4 linked regions of the Mus musculus genome follow. The main gene of each other region encodes a partner of the protein of the gene in region 4 in a complex. Links are inferred from orthologs where the notes say so. Each region holds a gene or a part of one and is shown on either strand. Other genes may lie near its edges. The genes, in order: Mta3, Mta1, Mta2 and Cdk2ap2.

What was found.
Region 1: Cdk2ap2 (region 4) and Mta3 share a complex: the UniProt entries of both Homo sapiens proteins name them as parts of the nucleosome remodeling and deacetylase (NuRD) repressor complex. The link is inferred for Mus musculus from reciprocal best matches to the Homo sapiens genes CDK2AP2 and MTA3.
Region 2: Cdk2ap2 (region 4) and Mta1 share a complex: the UniProt entries of both Homo sapiens proteins name them as parts of the nucleosome remodeling and deacetylase (NuRD) repressor complex. The link is inferred for Mus musculus from reciprocal best matches to the Homo sapiens genes CDK2AP2 and MTA1.
Region 3: Cdk2ap2 (region 4) and Mta2 share a complex: the UniProt entries of both Homo sapiens proteins name them as parts of the nucleosome remodeling and deacetylase (NuRD) repressor complex. The link is inferred for Mus musculus from reciprocal best matches to the Homo sapiens genes CDK2AP2 and MTA2.

What each region holds. Positions count from the first base shown.
Region 1 is NC_000083.6:83,704,613-83,709,617, reverse strand, and holds the start of Mta3 (metastasis-associated protein MTA3), read right to left. Parts: upstream 3,435-5,005; 5' UTR 3,361-3,434; coding exon 3,333-3,360; intron 1,220-3,332; coding exon 1,152-1,219; intron 1-1,151. UniProt on the Homo sapiens protein: Acts as a component of the histone deacetylase NuRD complex which participates in the remodeling of chromatin.
Region 2 is NC_000078.6:113,096,542-113,101,559, reverse strand, and holds the start of Mta1 (metastasis-associated protein MTA1), read right to left. Parts: upstream 3,283-5,018; 5' UTR 3,143-3,282; coding exon 3,115-3,142; intron 1,191-3,114; exon of another isoform or gene 1,123-1,190; intron 1,026-1,122; exon of another isoform or gene 950-1,025; intron 1-949. UniProt on the Homo sapiens protein: Transcriptional coregulator which can act as both a transcriptional corepressor and coactivator. Acts as a component of the histone deacetylase NuRD complex which participates in the remodeling of chromatin.
Region 3 is NC_000085.6:8,944,403-8,948,956, forward strand, and holds part of Mta2 (metastasis-associated protein MTA2), read left to right. Parts: intron 1-1,353; coding exon 1,354-1,471; intron 1,472-1,603; coding exon 1,604-1,667; intron 1,668-1,864; coding exon 1,865-1,982; intron 1,983-2,245; coding exon 2,246-2,348; intron 2,349-2,634; coding exon 2,635-2,734; intron 2,735-2,849; coding exon 2,850-3,038; intron 3,039-3,122; coding exon 3,123-3,197; intron 3,198-3,324; coding exon 3,325-3,383; intron 3,384-3,622; coding exon 3,623-3,720; intron 3,721-3,854; coding exon 3,855-3,994; intron 3,995-4,548; coding exon 4,549-4,554. UniProt on the Homo sapiens protein: May function as a transcriptional coregulator. Acts as a component of the histone deacetylase NuRD complex which participates in the remodeling of chromatin.
Region 4 is NC_000085.6:4,095,358-4,099,992, reverse strand, and holds Cdk2ap2 (cyclin-dependent kinase 2-associated protein 2), read right to left. Parts: upstream 2,643-4,635; 5' UTR 2,568-2,642; coding exon 2,486-2,567; exon of another isoform or gene 2,282-2,485; coding exon of another isoform or gene 2,260-2,281; intron 2,177-2,259; coding exon 2,076-2,176; intron 1,989-2,075; coding exon 1,856-1,988; intron 1,496-1,855; coding exon 1,428-1,495; 3' UTR 976-1,427; downstream 1-975. UniProt on the Homo sapiens protein: Acts as a component of the histone deacetylase NuRD complex which participates in the remodeling of chromatin.

The sequences.
Region 1 (5,005 bases), on a different chromosome or scaffold from region 4:
AACCAGTGTGTACCGCAGTTTTTTTGTTTGTTTGTTTGTTTCAGTCAATAGTACATTTTAAGTATTTTAGGATAAGTGGTTGGCACATAGTTAAAGGCATTAAGTAAACAATTGTTGAACTAATGAGTCTCTAAACTGTCTAAGGTTTATGCTAATATATAACATTACTATTCATCAAGTACTTTGGTTCATTTGTTTGCCTGTTCGGTTTGGATTTTTTTGAGACAGGGTTTCTCTGTGTAGCCCTGCTGTCCTGGATCTCTTGTAGACCAGGCTGGCCTTGAACTCAGAAACCCACCTGTCTCTGCCTTTGCCTACCTAGTGCCAGAATTAAAGAAAGGTGTGTGCTCTGGCCAGCTCATTTTCTTTTCCTTTCATTTTTGAGTTCTGTCTCTCTTGCTAGCTTGGAACTCTCCAAGTAGGAGAGCCTGGTTGGCTGGTGCGGAAGCCCCAGGGCAGGATTATCAGCCTGAGCCACTAAACCGGTTTTTCTTTCAGATTCTGGGAATTGAACTCAAGTCCTCATGCTTGCAAGTCATCTCCTCAGCCTCTCATTTTGTTTTTTTAAGACAGTCTCAGTGATACAACGCAGGACAAACTCAAACTAGGTATCAGGTGCCTGTCACGCCGCCGACTCATTTTACAATTTTGTGTGTTGTGGGGAGGGGTGGAGGCTGAGACTGGCTGACACTGGGCTGCCATGCCCCTGACTCTAGGCATGAACCACCACGCCCAAATTAGATTCTTCCTTCTAAAGCTCGAGGAGGAATATACTCATTCACTAGCAGATGTGAAACAGCGCTTGGGAAACTGAGGCAGGAGGATTGAGATTTTTTTGGAAGTCATTGTAAGCCTAGCTCAAACAAACATGCCTAATGTTTAAATATGAAACATGCCTACAGTCTTAAATATGAACAGAAGTCAAGTTACACACAACTGGCCTGATCTTCAAGGTTCAAAGCAATCTGAAGAAACAAACGTAACATGGGTCAAAAATCTTTATAAGAAGCCAACAAATATTCAGATGCCTGCAGAACTCTGTAATTAGCCTGGAACTGAAAGTAAAAATCACCTCTCGGGCCCTTTACCCAGTAACCCTTAAAGGGGAAGCGCTTCGGTGTTGGCCAGGTGATGCCACACTGCTCACTCACCTTGTTGAGCTCCTCTATCCGTCTGATGAGGTACGGGTTGCTGGAGGAATTCTCAAAATAAACGTAGTCTGCAAACAAAAAACGCACAGGTCTTTTCAACCAAGAGCTCACATTTGACAGCTCAGAGCCCTTTTCTTGTTTTTGTTTATTTTCCGTTTTGTTTTAGACAGGGTCACATGAGATAGCTCGGCATGTCTCAGAGAGCTTGCCTTGTTCACCAGACTGGCCTCAAACTCACAGCAGAGACCTGCCTGCCTCTGCCCAGGACTGGAGAGCTGGGATTAAAGGTGAGCCACCATCTCTTGGGCTACAATTCCCTATGCGTTAGGAAGTAGGCAAGCCACTGTAAGGCAGCCTCTGTAAGCGGTTCCAAGTTTATCACCGTCCTAGAATTCCCACCCCTGACGAAGTAGCCCAAGCTCATCTAGAACTAACTCAACATCCCCCAGCCTCACACACTCAAGTGGAGATTAGTGGTATGTACCACGTACCACATCCTGCTTACATTTCATTTTCTTTTTGAAAATAGCAGTCCGGGCTGGCAAGAACTGGTGAAGTAATTGAGACTGGCCTTCAACTCCTAAGCCTCCTGGCCCAACACTTACAGGCTGAATTTACTGGCATGTGCCACAGTGGTCACCCTTGAATTAATTATTTAATTTAAAAAAAAAAACAAAAAAAAGCATGGCTTGCTGTAATTGGGGGGAGTGGGACACAAAGGCAGGAGAATCACAAAGCAGAGGCCAGCCTCGTGCTACATAGCAAGACTTTGCCTCAAACAACAACAAAAAGCACAGGTCTTAAATCCCAGCACCTATGGAGCAGAGGCAAGCAGATCTCTGTGAGGCCAGCCTGGTCTAGGACTGAATCCTAGGGCATCTAGGCCTAAGTAGACACCTTGCCTCAAACAACCAAACAACCCCACCACAACATGATAGGCAAACCCCTTCATCACTATGTATCAGAGCTCATCAACGCAGCCTCCCACTAGCGCCTCATCCCTCCAATCCAACCAGCCCTCAACAACGATTCTTACATAAAAGTGTTGACCTGAGACAAATCAGGAGAAAAAGAAAGGCTTAACAGCCCAAATTCATTTCAAACATCAACTTAAAAAAAAAAATCGGCAGGCAGAATGTGTAAGGGCAAGCAGGTATCAAACTTTTCCTTGCTCTACCTGGGATGGTGAGGAATAGGGGCTGGGTGTTGGGTTGTTTTTTTTCCCCCCTTTTTTTATATTTGATTCAACTCCATTTAGACCCTTCTTATAAAGAAACCATGGCAAGTTTTCAACCAAAGGTACAGGATTTTTCCTCTACAGAGTGGCTGGAAACTTCCCACTATGTGTTTACCTGAGAGACTAGACTGCACAGTCACGGTCTACCTAGGCGGCTCTCTCCCAGCCCTCTGCTGCTAAGTGGCCTCATTTAGCCAGGCCATTCCCCCACCATCATCCATCAGGAGCTCGGCTAATGAGCAAAGACGGAAGAGCAAGTCTCACTCACAAACACGCCACTTATCTGAATTATTATTTTACCAGGAAGGAGGGAGGGAGGGCGTCGTGAGCAGGGAAAGTTTGTTTGACCTTATTTCTCTCTCTTCTGCAGAAGGCTGGAAAGACAGACAGCAGAGCCAACGTCCAGGCTGAGCTCTACTCCCTACCTGGGGCTGCGGCTCCCTGGCCCCACACACAGCCCCACTCTCAGGGGGACTGAACGGGAAACCGAAGGGAATGGGGGGTGAAGCAGCGACGGTGCAGGGCCCGGGCTCTGCAAACAGGCCTGTCGAGCTCTGCCCCCCACCTGGGCCACCATCGTCCCCAGCCCACGCTAACACCGAGGCAGAAGCCGGGGTTTGGGGTGAGGGGTGCTCAAGCCCCCCTCCCTCGTGCCCAAAAGCCACGCGAGGGAAAGACCACTCAGCTAGGGGGCTTGCAGGGGCTCTGTCCCTTTGGGGCGTTCGTAAAGGGGGTGTCCGATGCGTGTCCCCAGAAGAGGCCTGGCCCCGAGACGCCGGGCAGGAGCGGTGGGGGAGGGGAGTGGGGGTGGGGATCCCCCTGCGCCCCGCCCGCGGCGCCCTCAGCCCCGGGCTCCCGGGCTGCTGGCAGTAAGCGTGCGCTGCCCGGACCCCCGCTCCCACCGCCCGCTCCCCGACGGGCCGGGAAGGGCCGAGCCTTCCTACCTCCGACCCGGTACATGTTGGCCGCCATGTCCGCCCGCCCGCCCGCGGAGCCCGAGCCGAGCCCCGCCCGCCGCCGCCGCCTCAGCCTCGACCGCCGCCGCTGCCGCCGCCGCCGCCGCCTCGCCACGGGGGAGGGGGAGGGACGGGGAGGGGACACCGAGGGAGGGGGCTGTGCCCGCCCCCAGCGCCGGCAGAGCGACGCCGAGCGGGCCCGGGAGGCCGGAGCACGGCGGGAACGGGGCGGCGGGCTGCGGGGGGCCGAAGACCCCAGGGGCCACCCGCACTAGCCTCGGGGTAGCACACCAGGGTCAGGGGCTGTGGAAGAACCAGGGTGGGGACAGAGGTTCAGCCACTCCGAGCGTCTCTCTCGCCCGCGTCACCTGTCCACCTTGGGACAGGTTCTCCTTTCCTGCTTCTGTTCCCCAGGGACACCCCTCTATGTGTGACCTCAAGCACACGAACGCCCTTCTGGGTACAACTCTCCGATGCAGCCAATGCAAGCGACAGATGCTTGTTTGCGTCCCTCCCTCGTGGTGAGAGGACGTTTGGTGGCTTTAGAGCCTACAGGCCCTGGGGCCAAGAAGACCCTACGTACTTGCAGCTTGCTCAAGTCTGAGACCCAGCTATGAAAAGAACTGGAAGCTGACTTTCTCACCCCGACCACACTGGCAGGTCAGTCGTGGCTGTGCCAAAACTGGGCTGAACAAAACCGACCCCCCCCCCCACACACACACACACACACACACATCCTCTAGCCCTGCCTCTAAACAGGCTTTGTGTACAGCGTGTGCTTTGACCAGGGGAGGCCTTCAGCACAAGAGGGCTTCCTTTGCCGGTAGAAGAACAGGGTTTCCACAATCCGCAGTTTTCCCCCCATCAAAAGGAGGAGGTCGTGTCTAACAGCTTGGGGTTGCTGGTCAGCTAACTAGTTTTATGTCAAAAAGCACGTCCTCGCCCCAATCCCCGTTTTTGGTTTTTTGGTTTTTTTTTTTTTTTGCATTAATGGGGATTGAAGCCAGGTCTTTGCACAGGCTAGTCATTTAACTATAGAACTAACTTTTCATGTTTGTTGGTTTGTTTTTAAATTCTTAATACACTTATTTACTTATCTATCCATCCATGCATCTATTTATCTATCTATCATGTGAGGGCATGAATGCTATGAGATATATATGTATAGGTCTATCATAGGAGTAGAGATTGAACTCAGATAGTCAGGCCTGGCTATACTGAGCTACCTCACCAACATTACTTGTTTTAATACGGGTCTCAGTTCAGGCTGGCTCTTGTAGCCTCCTGCCTCAGCCTCCTGAGTGCTGGGTTATATTACAGGTGTAGGATCACTTGTCCCATCAGAAAGCTCTTAAGTGGCTAGTTTTCCCATGCTGAGTAGCTATAGATCCCTTTTCACGTTCCTCACACCCTCTATGAGGTTTTGAATATAGATGGTCCTCATAGTACTAAACACCTGTAACCCTAGTATTCCATAGGCAAAGGCTGGAGGCGCTCCAGTTTGTGGCCAGCTTGGGATACAGAGCGAGATCTTCCTGACTGACTCTCCCCAATGAACACATAACTTCTTTTAGGAAAGCCAAGGCATTCCAAACTACACCCAGGCCTTGTTGCACAATAAACATTGGCCTAGTATTGTGGGTTGGAGTGCCTGGTGATGC
Region 2 (5,018 bases), on a different chromosome or scaffold from region 4:
TACAAAGTGAGTTCCAAAAAAACCAAAAGAAAAAAAAAAAAAAAAAAGCTCCCACGTAGAAGCAGCTGTGACGTGGGGAGACTCAAAGCAATCTCTGTTCCTCTGTTCAAAAATGCCACCTAATTTTACAACAGACACACAGGTAAGAAACACAGGTGCCTGCCCTAGGATGTCCTCAGCCTTAATCCAAGCTCTCAGTAGGGACAGCCTCTCAAACCCTCACCCAACACCCACCCCTGCTCTCAGGCGCTGGCAGGAGCCTGGCAAGCCCACCTCTTAAGATGCAGTCTATCTTTCCACCCTGGCTGACCTCTTGGCCCAAGTGTTCTGGGGCTCCTGCAACCTCCTCCCCCATACTTTCACCGGCCTAACCCACCCTAACACGTCTTCCAGACAAGCTTGCCAGGGAGTACAGGACGCCCAAACATTGTGCTGCAAATCCCAATCTTTCCTGTCCACATGCCTTCACAGTTGGGACACTGGGGCAAGGCAGTTTTCCTGAAACTTAAACCTGACACGTGTGCCAAGAAGGGGGTGGGGTGGGGGCAGAGATACCCCAACCTAGGTCTCCACCAGCCACTATTCAGAACACATTTCCCAGGGGGCCAGAGCCCAGACAACAGACTGAACCAAGGCCTGCTCAGGGAGCCACAGTGTGTCCTCTCTCATCTGGGGGCCTGAGAATCTGGCAAGCAGTGACTGGGGCAGGAAGCCAACAGCCACCACCCAGAGCACCATTGCAAGGCCGTGCTGGGGCTCCCAGGATGGCACTAGAGTTCCCTATCCAAAAAGTCCTTTAGGGGCTGACCCTTCACCTGCCATGGATACCCTCTGGGGACCACTACCCTGCAAAGCACTACAGGCAATACAGATGGTACCCCAGACCACGCTTGGCAGCCAACATATACATAGGAACACAGACCTATCCCTACTCCTTAGTCATACATACTTGCTTGACACACAGGCTCAGGGTCCAGCCACCTATCCTCATGGGGCCTCAGACACTCCAGGATACCAGCTATGTCCTGGAGGAGCAGATATAGGACACAGGATGAAAACAGGGATGGATCTCTAGCCACGCCGTGGGGAAACAGGTACAGATGAGCCAGTCTAGGACCTCACCAGATTGCTAGGGCCTTGGCTATAGCCCCTCCGCCAGGCAGGCAGCTGTGGGACTCTTGGAAACGGGCTGAGACCTCAGTGCCCTGCAGACCACCTTCCACGCTCTCACCACCTCCCACTGCCTGAGTCAGATGCAGGAGCCCAGACCTTCACTCTTTTGCTATTTATTCATGCTATTTATTCATTTCTTCAGCATATGACATGCCATCATGGGCCAGAAACCATGAGAACCAGGAGGGGTGGGGGGTGGAGGTGGCCCAGGGGTCAGGGTCATACAGGAGTGGTGATGGGTGTTTCAGGGTGGTCTTCCACTCCAGCACACTCTCAGCAGAGCCCAGTTTTGCTAGTGGGGGAAGAGATTCATCCACATTTAGTCTGTGACCAGGAGGAGGGGCTCCAAGTCCAGATAGAGAGCAGGGTCAGGGACCAGGATAATGGGAGCCTTTCACGGGCAAAGGAGAACCTCTGAAATGAGGGAACTAGAGGTAGAACCCGAGGAAGCAGCAGCCATATCAGCAGGAACCATGGTGAACAGGAAGGGGGATCCTTGCAAAAATGGTTCACTGGGCAGAATAAGGGGCAACACCTGGAAGGGGGCCCCCTGGGGAGCCAGGAGCTAGCCTCTGCCCTGGAAAGCAGGCCAGTAAGCCTATAGCATCCAGTGACCTGGCCCACTCCCTCTGGGGCTGGCAAGGCTGAATCCTCACAGACCAGCCCCTCCTCATATGACCCCAGGCTGTATGACCTGTGGCAGGTCCTGGCAGAGAGCAAAGGTGTGAGATCAGGGATTCCCTGAGAGGCCCCTGCTGTGGGAGGCCTGCTGTGGGAGGATGAGCCATCCGTGTGGAGATAGCTGCACCCCTGTGCCCCAAGCCACAGAACTGAGCTGGCTGGGTCCCGCTGGTGTGAGATGGAAGGAAATGACCTAGGCACTCAGGGGTCGGGGTCTTCCGTAGGAGTGGTTGATGGGTGTTTCGGGGTGGTCTTGCACTCAAGCACACTCTCACAGCAAAGCCCAAGTTTGCTAGTGGGGGACAGCAGCAGACTCATCCACATTTAGGCTGTGACCAGGAGGGTCTCCAAGTCCAGAGAGAGAGCAGAAGAAGGCTATGGGATAACTATAAGGGTCAGCATGGCCTGGATGTGTGCAAGGCCATTCCGGAGTATCCTGGTCACACACACACATACACAAACTGGGCAAAGGGCTTCTTCCCAGGGCCCAACAACTGGGGGACCAGCCCGGGCAGACAGGCTCTCATGGCCCCAGGTCAGTAGGGACCTCTGGCCTTCCAAAGGCCAGGAAAGTGCCTCCTTGCTAGGCAGGGGTGAGCAGTAAGGCAGAGAAAAGTTTGGGGTGATTCAGACCTGCACTTGGGATGTAGGCCCCCTGCTGTAGCCAACCCTCCCCCCCAGGAATCCCTGCTAAGGAAAGCCCTCGGCTGGGACGGGCTCGTGGCCCCTGCAACAGGACTCACGGTGCCTGCACACCTAGCGGGCCCTGCACGGCCCCCTGAGGAGACCGCTTGCCCCCCAGACCCCGAAACTCCTGCTCGCGGGACCGCAGCCAGAGCTCCAGAGGCACGTGCTCCTGCTCAGGGGCTCCGGCCCGGACCCAGGCCCAGGCCTCCCGCCGCCGGGCCCGCCGGCCCCCGGGATGCCCTGGCCACCCTGGCCACTCGCCGCTACTCCGCCTGCGTCCCGCGGGCCACCCCCGGTCCCCAACAGGTGGGCATAGCCCCCTCCCAGCGCCGCTCGGCGCCCCGCGCGCGCGCGCCCCGGCACCGGCAGCCCAGGGGCCATTTTGGGCCGGGACGAGCACCGGAGACCAGAACCGAGCCTCGCGGGCGGGGCGCGAGCGCGACGGGGGCGGGACGGGGGGGAGGGGCGCGGGCCGCGCGCGAGGGCGGCGTGGGGGAGGCGCGGAGGCCGCGGCGGGGCCGGGAGGCGCGGGCGGTGGGCCCGCGGCGCATAAAGGCCGTGGCGGGGCCTTACCTCCGACCCTGTACATGTTGGCGGCCATGTCCGGGCCGGCGGCGGGGCCGCGGGGCGCGGGGCGCGAGCGCGGGCGGCGGGCCGGGCGCGGGCCGGGGCGGGGGCGGGCGCGGGGGCGCCGGCGGGCGGTTTAAAGGGACCGCGCTGCTCCGCCGCCGCCGCCGCCGCCGCCTCCGAGGCCGCCGAGGCCGCGCAGGGACGGGAGGGCCGCGGCGCGGGCGGGAGAGGAAGAGGAGGAGCGGCCGCGGGCGGCGGGGAGGGGCCTCGGGCGCCGCCGCCCACCGCGCGGGCCGTTACCCGACCCCGCGCCGCGCCGGCCCGCGTGCCCCTGGCCGAGTGGCCCTTCTGAGCCCTTAGCTCGCCTGGTCCTCGGCATCCCCGGATCGCCCTCCCACGACCCCTCCTGCCTGGCTCTCAGCATCCCCGGGTGGCCATCCGGAGCCCCACGCTTTCGTGGCCCTGGCATCCCGAGTGGCCCTCCTGCATCCTCTCCAAAGTGGTCCTCGGCATCCCTGGGTCAGCTGCTCATCCCTTGGAGGTCCTTCGAAGCCACTGCTGGAGTGGCCCTTGGCATCCCCAGGTGGTCCTCCTCGGCAGGCCCACACCCTGCGTCCCTGGGACGCACTCCTGCAACCCGCCTAGAGTGGCTGGCCCTCCACATCATTGATGGCCCTCCTGCGACCCCTCCGGAATGATACTTGGCATCCTCCAGTGGCACTCTCCAGGCCCACGCCCGCCTGGACCTCGGCACCCACTGGGTGGCCCTTCTTTAACCCTCAGTGGTCCTCGACATCCCTGGATGGCCCTCTTACATGGTCTTTCAGCTTACCTGGGAGGCTCTCCACGACCCCTCCCAAATGACTCGGGCATCCTCCAGTGGCACTCTCCAGCACTCTCCAGGCCCATTCCCTCCTGGCCCTCAGCACCCATTGGTGACCCTTTCCCTGCCCTCCCCCCACCCCCGCCAAGCTCCATGCTCACCTAGTCTTCAGCAACCCCAGGTCACCTCCAGAGACCTCTCACATACCTGACAAGGTGAGCCCTCCTAGGACTGGCTCCTTGGGAGTTTCTCACAAGGTTGCCTTGGGTCCTTCTATGTGAGCCCTTCCCTGCACCCCTGTGTAGGGATCCTTTCCAATTCTTGTAGGGGTCCTCAGTGTGTCCCCCATTGTCCAACCTCTTCAGTCACCCAGGAACATCATGACTATCCTTGAACAAGGCGGTCATGCTTGTTCCTGAAGTGCCAGGCCTCCCTCCGTGTACCTCCCTGCTCGCTTGGATTCCCTCCCACAAGCCCAAGCTGAAGCCAAGACCACATAAGCCGTGGGGCATTGCGGTGCTGAGGAAGGTGCCTCTTTGTGGCATCTGTGACTAAGGGCTTGCCTTTGCTTATCTAAGGTCTGTGAAGAGGGAGTTCTTAGACATTACCCCAAGGCCAGAGGACAAAAGGTTGTGTCCCTGATGGGACTCCTGTCCCTGCCACAGTTGGGGCAGTGAAAAGGAGCTGACTGGGAGTTCTGGTTGAGTCTGAGCACGGCGGGTTACTTTGTCGGTGGAAGTCTATGGCCGCCAAGTCGGCGTCCTCTTTGAGGTGCATTCTGTGGAGTGGAGTAAATGGCGCTCAGGAAAGCATTGTGGGCCACGGTGAGGGTTAGGCGTGGGGGGGGGGGGCTCAGGGCTAATGCACTGTACATAACTAGGCAAGAAATCTGCATGACGCTTGGACCCATGGAAGGGTCTCAAGGCCTAGGCCACCTCCCTGAGCAATGAGAAGAAACATCACTCTGGTCTACATAGTGAATTCCAGGACAACCAGAGCTGCATAGACCCAGTCTCAAAACAAAAAGCTAACCAAATAACATCTAGGCAGTGGTCAGGGCAGAGGGCATAGACTTGACATAGTC
Region 3 (4,554 bases), about 4.8 Mb from region 4:
GGGACAGTGGTTAGTGAGTGATGGCCAAGGTGAAGAGGAAGATACTGTTTTGAGAAGTCTGCATAACAGAGAGGCTTATGCTGTAGTCTGGAGGCGATGCCAAAACATTAATAGAGATGATAAGCTAGGAGCAGTTCTCTTGGACTTCCCTGCCTTCACCATTTTTCCTCTCCATTCCAGTTAGTGTCATTTTTACTTATTTTTGCTTTGTCTGCATTTTCTCTATGATCTTTATATTGTAATTTTTTTTCACTTAGTTTTATCTTTTTTCTTTCCTTTTTTTTTTTTTTTTTTCTTTGTCAGGGTTTCTCTGTGTAGCCCTGGCTGTCCTGGAACTCACTCTGTAAATCAGGCTGGCCTTGAACATAGAAATCTACCTGCCTCTGCCTCCCTGGTGCTGGGATTAAAGGCGTGTGCCAGCACTACCCGCATCACTTAGTTTTCTTTTAACTCCCTTTTTCCCTCCTAGATTCTTTTTCAGGCTGCAGTCATGAAAGGGTTAATGAACTGGGCCTACCAAGTTTCCTGGCCCTTTGGGGTTTCCGGCTCCATCTGGCAGGGGCTGACCTTGGCCTTATCCAATCAGAAGGGGTAGGGGTGTGGTTCTTTTTGCCCTACCTCTGGGTTTTCCTAGAGCACAGAGAGACACGGACACCCCCACCCCAAATCTGTACCCCCATTTTTCAGGGGAACAATGCACCGATGAGCATGTGCCTGAGGTTTCTGTCTTCTACTTTGGTTGGCACTTAGCCAGGTTAACTGTTTCTACGGAGATTTCAGTGCAGGCCTCTTGGTGCCTCTTGGTGAGGAAGGTGTTGGCACTGGTTTCAGAGTTGCCCTTCTTGAAAGCCCACAAACTATTATTAGCCAAGTAGAAAGAGAAGGAGCATTAGGTTGCATGTGATGTTTCAGACACAGCAAGGAGTCCTGAAGTATGAAGAGGAGCTGGTAAATAAACAGCGACCATGTGTGCTATTTTTACTTCTTCTTAACTGGATTTTAGGACCTCGGACTGGTTGTGCAAGAAAGAGCTAAATATGATGTCACACTGTATTATGGCTCTGTTTGTGCTTTCTGCGTGTTGGCAGCTAGGGTTGGGTGCATTTCTGTGGTATCCTTATACTCTCACAGTATAAGGATGGGATAATTCCTTTGACGGAATTAAAGAGAGGATGGAACATCTACACTGAGGTGTAAGGCCGAAAGGGGGGGCTGGTAGGATAAGAGTGAGCTGCCCGAGGAAAGCAGTGCTGGGCAGCAGCTGAGGTAGGCTCTCCTTTACCAGACTAGCTAGCTGGCTAAGGTACCTGTTTCTGAATTAGTTTATGACTTGGTTTTTCCTCACTATTCTAGGGGAGTTTGAGGAGGAATCAAAACAGCCAGGGGTCTCCGAGCAGCAGAGACATCAACTGAAGCACCGAGAGCTTTTTCTTTCTCGGCAGTTTGAATCATTACCAGCCACCCACATAAGGTATAGGACGATCAGGGTCACTGTGGTCTATGTGCCCTTGTTTAGAAGATGGAGAGAAGGGGGTGGTGTATTGGAGATGGCAGGTAAGGAGGGCTGCTCATCCAGGACTTTTGGGTTTGTCCTTTTTCTTAGGGGGAAGTGCAGCGTGACTCTCTTGAACGAGACAGACATCTTAAACCAGTATCTAGACAAGGAGGTGAGGAGCTGTTGGGATAAGAGGGAGGTGAGAGAATGTTGCCCCTAAAGGCAAGTGAGGTGGTAAAGGGGCCACGGACCTCACAGCCGTGTGTGTGTGTGTGTGTGTGTGTCTGTGTGTCTGTGTGTGTCTGTGTCTGGAGAGACCTTACTGTCCATGCAGATTCCTTCCCACTAACCTCCTCTCTTCCTCTTCAGGACTGCTTTTTTTACTCACTGGTGTTTGATCCTGTGCAGAAGACACTTCTGGCTGATCAAGGGGAGATCAGAGTTGGTTGCAAATTCCAAGCTGAGATCCCAGATCGTTTGGCAGAGGGTAAGCAACAGAACAAGAAGTGCTTGAACATGAAAGTTTCTGTTGATAGCTTGATTTGGGGTACCAGTGTGGAATCTGCTAGGTGTTGTGTTGTGGCTCTGACAGGGTGAGACTTAGGAACATGAGAGAGACAAGTGGGCACAGCTGGGAGGGGAGTTCTGAGGTCTGATAGACTCCAAGCAGAGCAGAGGAAAAAGAGCCATTGTGAGTGACTATGAGTTATTTCCCTCTCTCCCTCCGTGGTGATTCTGTTGTTTCCTCAGGAGAATCAGATAATCGAAACCAACAGAAGATGGAGATGAAAGTCTGGGACCCAGACAACCCTCTCACAGACCGGCAGATTGATCAGTTTCTCGTGGTGGCCCGGTGAGGGTGGGTGGATCAGGAAGGTGGGCTGGGGAGGAATGGACTGAGTTCTGCGTCTCATCCAATTTCTTTCTTTCTTTCTTTCTTTCTTTCTTTCTTTCTTTCTTTCTTTCTTTCTTTCTCTCTCTCTCTCTCTCTCTCTCTCTCTCTCTTTCTTTCTTTCTTTTTTTTTTTTTTTAAAGTGGGCTTTGTTTTAGGCCTGGGCATTTTCTTTTTCTAATTAGTTCCTGAACCTGCTTGAATTTTGAAGGGGAGAACCCTTCTTGACTTCTCAATCTCTCTTTAGAGCTGTGGGAACCTTCGCGAGAGCCCTAGACTGCAGCAGCTCAATTCGGCAGCCAAGCTTGCACATGAGTGCAGCTGCTGCGTCCCGAGATATCACTCTGGTAAGTGCCAGCTGATAGATAGTTGGGCGTGTTGAGGCAGGAGAGGAGGGCGGGAGTCCTGAAGAAGGTGCTTAAAGAGTAGCAAGTCCTTAGCTTTGTTCTATATTTTTGGTAGTTCCATGCCATGGATACCTTGCAAAGGAATGGCTATGACTTGGCCAAGGCTATGTCAACCCTAGTACCACAGGGAGGCCCGGTGCTCTGTCGGGATGAGATGGAGGAATGGTCTGCTTCTGAAGCCATGCTGTTTGAAGAGGCTCTGGAGAAGTACGGGAAGGATTTCAATGATATCCGCCAGGACTTTGTAAGTGAACAGGACTAGGAGGAGGGAGAACGACGATGGAGCTAGGATCACATGCCATCTCATCCTGTTTGCTGTTCTTTTTAGCTACCCTGGAAGTCACTTGCAAGCATAGTCCAGTTTTATTACATGTGGAAAACCACAGACCGGTATATTCAGCAGGTATGGGTCAGGCTGGCTGGGAGGCTGGACCAGAGGCTATCTGCTTACCTCTCTGCTGTTTCTTTTGTTTGATTTCAATTTGTACTGAGATGCTCTGAATTTCTTTCTGTTTTTCTCCTTCTTACAGAAAAGATTGAAAGCTGCTGAAGCAGACAGCAAACTGAAACAGGTCTACATCCCCACTTAGTAAGTGTGGCAGAAAGGGAGATGGTGTCTTCCTTAATGATTGGGGGTAACCAGGAAGCAGAAGCAATTGTAGAAGCTGTAGCTCAGTGAGAAGCATGGGCTTAGTATGCACAAGGCTGTAGGCTTAATCCCCAGAACTCCAGAGAGTCGGAAATAGAAAGTAAAGTGGTGGTAAGAGAGACACAAGTGGGTTGTTTTCTTAACTAGCTTCTGTCTTCTCCTCTTGTTTCGTTCATTAGTACCAAGCCAAACCCTAACCAGATCATTTCTGTGGGTTCAAAACCTGGCATGAATGGGGCTGGATTCCAGAAGGGCCTGACTTGTGAGAGCTGCCACAGTGAGTTCCAAGGGGGGACAGGGTTGCTGGGGATAGGTGGTCCTAGGGTGGCTTATTCTCTGTCCTGGGAATTTGAGGATCTTGGGTGGCATATTTCCTGCCAGCAAATTTCCCTTCTCTCTCTACTCTTGTAGCCACACAGTCTGCCCAGTGGTATGCCTGGGGACCCCCTAACATGCAGTGCCGACTTTGTGCTTCCTGTTGGATTTATTGGAAGAAATACGGGGGACTGAAGACCCCTACCCAACTTGAAGGGGCTGCTCGGGGCACCACAGTAAGAATCAGTGGGTGGGAACTTGGCATGGTGACTGAGGCAGGTGGGTGAGTTAGAGGCCAGTCTGGTATACAAAGCAAGCTCCAGGTTAGCTGGGGCTACATACTTAGATATTGTCTCAACAAATAGAAAAGAATCACTGATGCCAGGCGTGGTGGCGCACGCCTTTAATCCCAGCACTCGGGAGGCAGAGGCAGGCGAATTTCTGAGTTTGAGGCCAGCCTGGTCTACAAAGTGAGTTCCAGGACAGCCAGGGCTACACAGAGAAACCCTGTCTCGAAAAAACAAACAAACAAAAAAGAATAACTGCAAGAACACGTGGGGATGGGGAGAGTAGTGGTCCTATGAGTGCTTTAGGCAAAGGCCAGAAAACCTTTGACCTCTTCTTCCATGGAGACACTCAAATGCGTAGGAGCACCTGCTAAGTATTGGGAAGCCAGGATGGTTGGGCGGGGTTTCACTGAAGAGGTCAGGTAGAAACAGTTGGCTGTCTGCAGGAGACAGAGGACAGAATTGCACTGTTGATTTCTCTTTTTCATATGTCATTCCTCTAGGAGCCA
Region 4 (4,635 bases):
TGGGCCCGGCTGGTCCTCCCCACCCCGGCAGGGTCGGGGCAGCCCCGCCCGCGGCGCAGCAAGGCTGGCCCCTGCTTTCCTTCTCCAAGACAGACGGGGAAGAGGCCGGGCCCCAAATTCCAGTTCTTTATTTCTGTGCTGTCTGGACACCCCAAGAATTCTTGGTTTCATTTCCCACCCAGGCCCAGTCAGGGCAGCCCTCCTGTGTGCTTTGAAGAGGTGGGATTTGACCTAGGGGGAGCCCAGGTTAGAGGAAATGTTGTACCCCAAAGTTAGCCAGAATTTGGAAGTTCTCAATTGCCTCTGCCTAGGTTGGCATTTCACGGTTACTTAGCTACATGCCCAGGTAGAGGCCATCCCCTTAATGAAGCCCAAGTCCTTCCCTACTATGTTTGCTAGGTTCTCAAATTTGGACACCCATCTAACTGCTCCGACTCTGTACAAAGGCCGAGACACCCGGGGCTGGCTCATGGAGCCACACCCAGCCTTGTGGAAGTTGTCAGGACAGTGGATAGCAGCATCAAGCCAAGGTGCTGGGGGTGGGGGGGAAGGAGCCTCTAACTGCCTCCCTTAGGAGTCAGGGACCCGGTGTATTTAGAGCCTTCCAAGGATGGTTTTAAAGCGGAGCTGGTGTAGGGGCATTAGGACGTTCACGGGAGAGGCTTAAGTGAACTGGTATTTCCACCCTGCCAGGCATGCCTGCCAATCTACAGGAAGGGCCCTTTAGGCTCCGGCTGTCCAATAGTGCCTCCAGCTGTGAAGGCAGCCAAGCCCTACGCTGCCCCCTGGTGGCACCTCCTTATGCAGACATCATTGGTGTTCTGTCTGGCCTTCAGCTGCAAGGCGCAGAGCTGGAGGTAGCAATGGACAAGATGGGAAGGCAAAGCTCGGTTCAAGCGCCCTTCCCAGTTCCTGCTCTGCCCTTCCCCTCTGCCCACTCAGGCTTCCCCAGAGGAACCACACACAGAAAGGCTGAGAGAATGACTCCAAAGCATCTTTTATTTATACAAAAAGGACATATTTAGTAAAAGACACACCAAAAAAAGAGTCGGCTGTGGCCCCAGAGATGAGGCAGGAAGGTCTTCTGCACTCCTGTTGAAGAGGCAGGAGGTGGCCTGGGCTAAGAGTTAAGGAGTAAGTGCTGTGTGGTGGGGCCACAGAGAGGAGCAAGCTCCCGTCAGATCAGCACTGTGAGCAGGTCATGGAAGGGACTCCCAGTGGCCTCCCAGCACTCCCACAGAGGGAGGAGACCAGTTTGTACAGCCAACTGGACGAAGATCTGCTACCTGGTTCCTGGAGGGTGCCCACTAAGGGACACAGGACAGGAAGCCCAGGATAGGAAGCAACTTGGGGCGCGAAGGCCAGGGAGAAGCAGGCGCTCTGCAGTGGCCAGAAAGGTCCCGGCGAGGAGGTCAAGGTGCTTCCTGTTACGTGCGGGCATTGCGTTCTGTCTCTGCCAAGCACTCTCTGACTAGTGCCCGAGCGTGGATGATGCCTGGGGTGCGGTGAGGATGGGGAAGTAATAAACAGGGCCCCAGAAACAGTCCACAGCCACCCTTCAGAGCAGACACTCCCCCACCGCTCCATGGTTCAGCAAGAGCACCTCTAATCTAATGAGGATGGATGGGATTAAGGGTTGGCTAATCCGAGTTCCCAGGCACCTTCTTGGAAACAGACTCATTTGAAAATGGAAAAGTTCATTTAAAACCCCTCCTTAGGTACACGTTCTGTTCCAATCGAGGCTGGCCCAAATGTCCTGTCCTGACTCTAGATATCCTCCATCCTTACTGAACTGTCTTAAAGTTCAGTGTCTGTGTCCTGGGCAGAGCAAGGGCAGGCCTGTGGCTTCACTTACCTCTCTTCAGGCGCTCCATGGCACTCTTGCTACCAGCATAGGTGGGCCGGATCTCTTTGCCCATCTCCTCTATGACAGACAGCAGGTCCGTGTAGGTGCTCTGAGAGCCCTGGGAACCAGGTGGCTTCATCGCCTGTGTCAAAAGAAAATACAGACGTGATCTCAGACCCCGAGGGGATCTCCTGTCCTCAGCCATAAGCAAGCTCTTGGCCACACTCACCTGTACATACCCCATGGAGGGCGGACCAAAGTCGTTAAACAGCGGTCTGAAAGGTGCGGCAGCTCCTGGCACTGAGCCCGATGGCGATGGGACACTCCCGGCTGCAACGACACCAGCAAGAGGTCAGAGTGTGACAAGGGCCTCGTCACAGATTTCCAAGCCCAGGACTGTTCCCTTGACTAACCTCCAACGGCATGCTTCTTCATTCCACTCTGAACAACTTCGGAGACACACTCCTCCCCCCTGCGCTCCACCTACAAGCTCTACGTGACCACGCCCACTTCTCAGGCCAGCAAACTGAGGCTGAGCCAGGCTCGTCTAGCAGGCCCCGGATTGCAAAACTCGAGCGGTTTCTCTCCAAGACCTCGACTGCCCGGACAAGGCGAACAAGGATGGAGTTGGAGCCTCACCTGTAGGGACCGGGGTGCCTGGCCCGGGGGTGCTGGAGCCCGGGGTACTGCTGGGGGCGGGCGCGATAGGTTTGTAGGACATCCCAACTCCTCAGTGCGGCGGCCGCCAGCCGGCCGCTCCTCTGGGGTTGGCTGTCCGGCAGCTCAGCCGCACTCTGATTGGCAAGCGAGCTGCACGCCCCTGGTAAATAGAGCTCCGGCCGGAAGGGTGGGCGGGCACGATCGGTCCTCACTCTCGATTGGCGCGCTCAGCTGTCACTCGAGCCTCCTCATTGGCTGAATCTTGCCCCCGCAGGGCGCAACCGCTGCCGATTGGCCTCCACCTTCCGGACCTCGCACCTGTCTGCCCCGGATTGGGCGGTGACAGTCGTCCTCCTCAATTGGCGAGTTCGGGGCCCGGGGCCGGCGCGCTTTCAATCCGATTAGTCCCGAGGTCCAAGAGGCGGGGCCTCGGCAGCGGGCCAGTCTGGTCCCCGCGGTTTGCTCCGGTGGTGTGTGGCGGGCCGCCGAACACACTTCGTCCTCACCGCTTCGCGACTTCCCTCCGCTCAGAACTCCCAAGGCCACGGCTCCCACAGTGTGAGCACTCCGCCCTACCCCGAGCGTTTTACGTCACCTTTCACTGGTTCCGTGTCCCCCCCCCTTCGGCTGTGCGCATGTGCGCGCCTCAGGCCTGTATTTGTTCCCATGGCAACGGTTCCCTCACCAAAGTCATTACCAAGCTCCTTCTCTGGATTGGTTTGAATCTTCGGTCTAGGCAGGTGGGTCCAAGGCAGCCAACGACGCTGCTCGACACTGAACCCTAAGTCCCCTACTCTCTCCACAGACAATGATAGAGCATCATAGATCAAGAATTGCGTTAGGTCAAGTCAGGACCCTGGTCAAGACCCTTGGCTGGAATCTCAACACCTCATTAATGGTTTCCTCCTGGACTCTTTTTGGCGGGTGGGATGAGATTGAGACAAGGTCTCAAGTAGCCCAGTCAGAACTCGAACTCTCCGGGTAGGGGAGGGTGACCTTGAATTCCTGATGCTCTTGTCTCGGAAATGCTAAAGGATTACAGTCACACGCCAGTTTCTTGCCCTAATAGGTTTCCGTTTTCTCATGAAACATGAAGACAGTAATACCTGGAAAGTAAACTTGGAAGTGGGTAGAGAAATAGAGATGAGAGCCAGCCCCATATGGGTTGAAGCATGGTTGATTATTGTTCTGACGTCATTAATGAAACTCCCACCTGGGTCTGGCCATCTAGTTCCTATTTCCTTGAAATCAATTCACTTTAAAATTAAAATAAAACTATTTTATGTATACGAGTGTTTTGTCTGCATATATGTCTGCAGAACTGCTGCTTTAGCCCTCAACTCACTTTTTAAAAAAGCGACTGCAGAGATGGCTTAGCAGGTAAGAGGACAGGCTGCTCCTCCAGAGGACCCAGGTTAGAATTCTAAGCATTTACATAAAGTGCCTCAGAACCATCTGTAACTGCATTTCCAGGGGGCCCAATATCTCTTTCTGTTCTCAGTGGGCACCTAGCAAGCAGGTAGTACACAAACGTACAGTCAGAGAAAACACCCTAGACTTTTTTTTTTTTTTTTTTTCTGAGAAAGGGTCTCACTATCTAGCTCTAGCTAACCTGGAACTCAATATGTAGGCCAGGCTGGCCTTAAACTCACAGAGATCCTCTCTCTTCTTCCTGAATGCTTTGATTGAAGGCATGCACTACCACTCCCAGCTAAATAAATCTCCCTGTTTTTTTTTTTAAAGACTTATTTTATTTATTATATGTAAGTACACTGTAGCTGTCTTCAGACACCAGGAGAGGGAATCAGGTCTTGTTACAGATGGTTGTGAGCCACCATGTGGTTGCTGGGATTTGAACTCGGGACCTCTGGAAGAGCAATCAGTGCTCTTAACCGCTGAGCCATCTCTCCAGCCCATAAATCTCCTTTTAAAAGACTATTAAAAAACAAACCAAAAGGCTGAAGAGATAGTTCAGTGGTTAAGACTGACTGCTCTTCCAAAAGTTTTGAGTTCAATTCCTAGCAACCACATGGTGGCTCACAACCATCTGTAGTGGGATCCAGTGCCCTCTTCTGGTGTGTCTGAGGACAGCTACAGTGTTCTCAAGATATATAAAGTAAATAAATCTT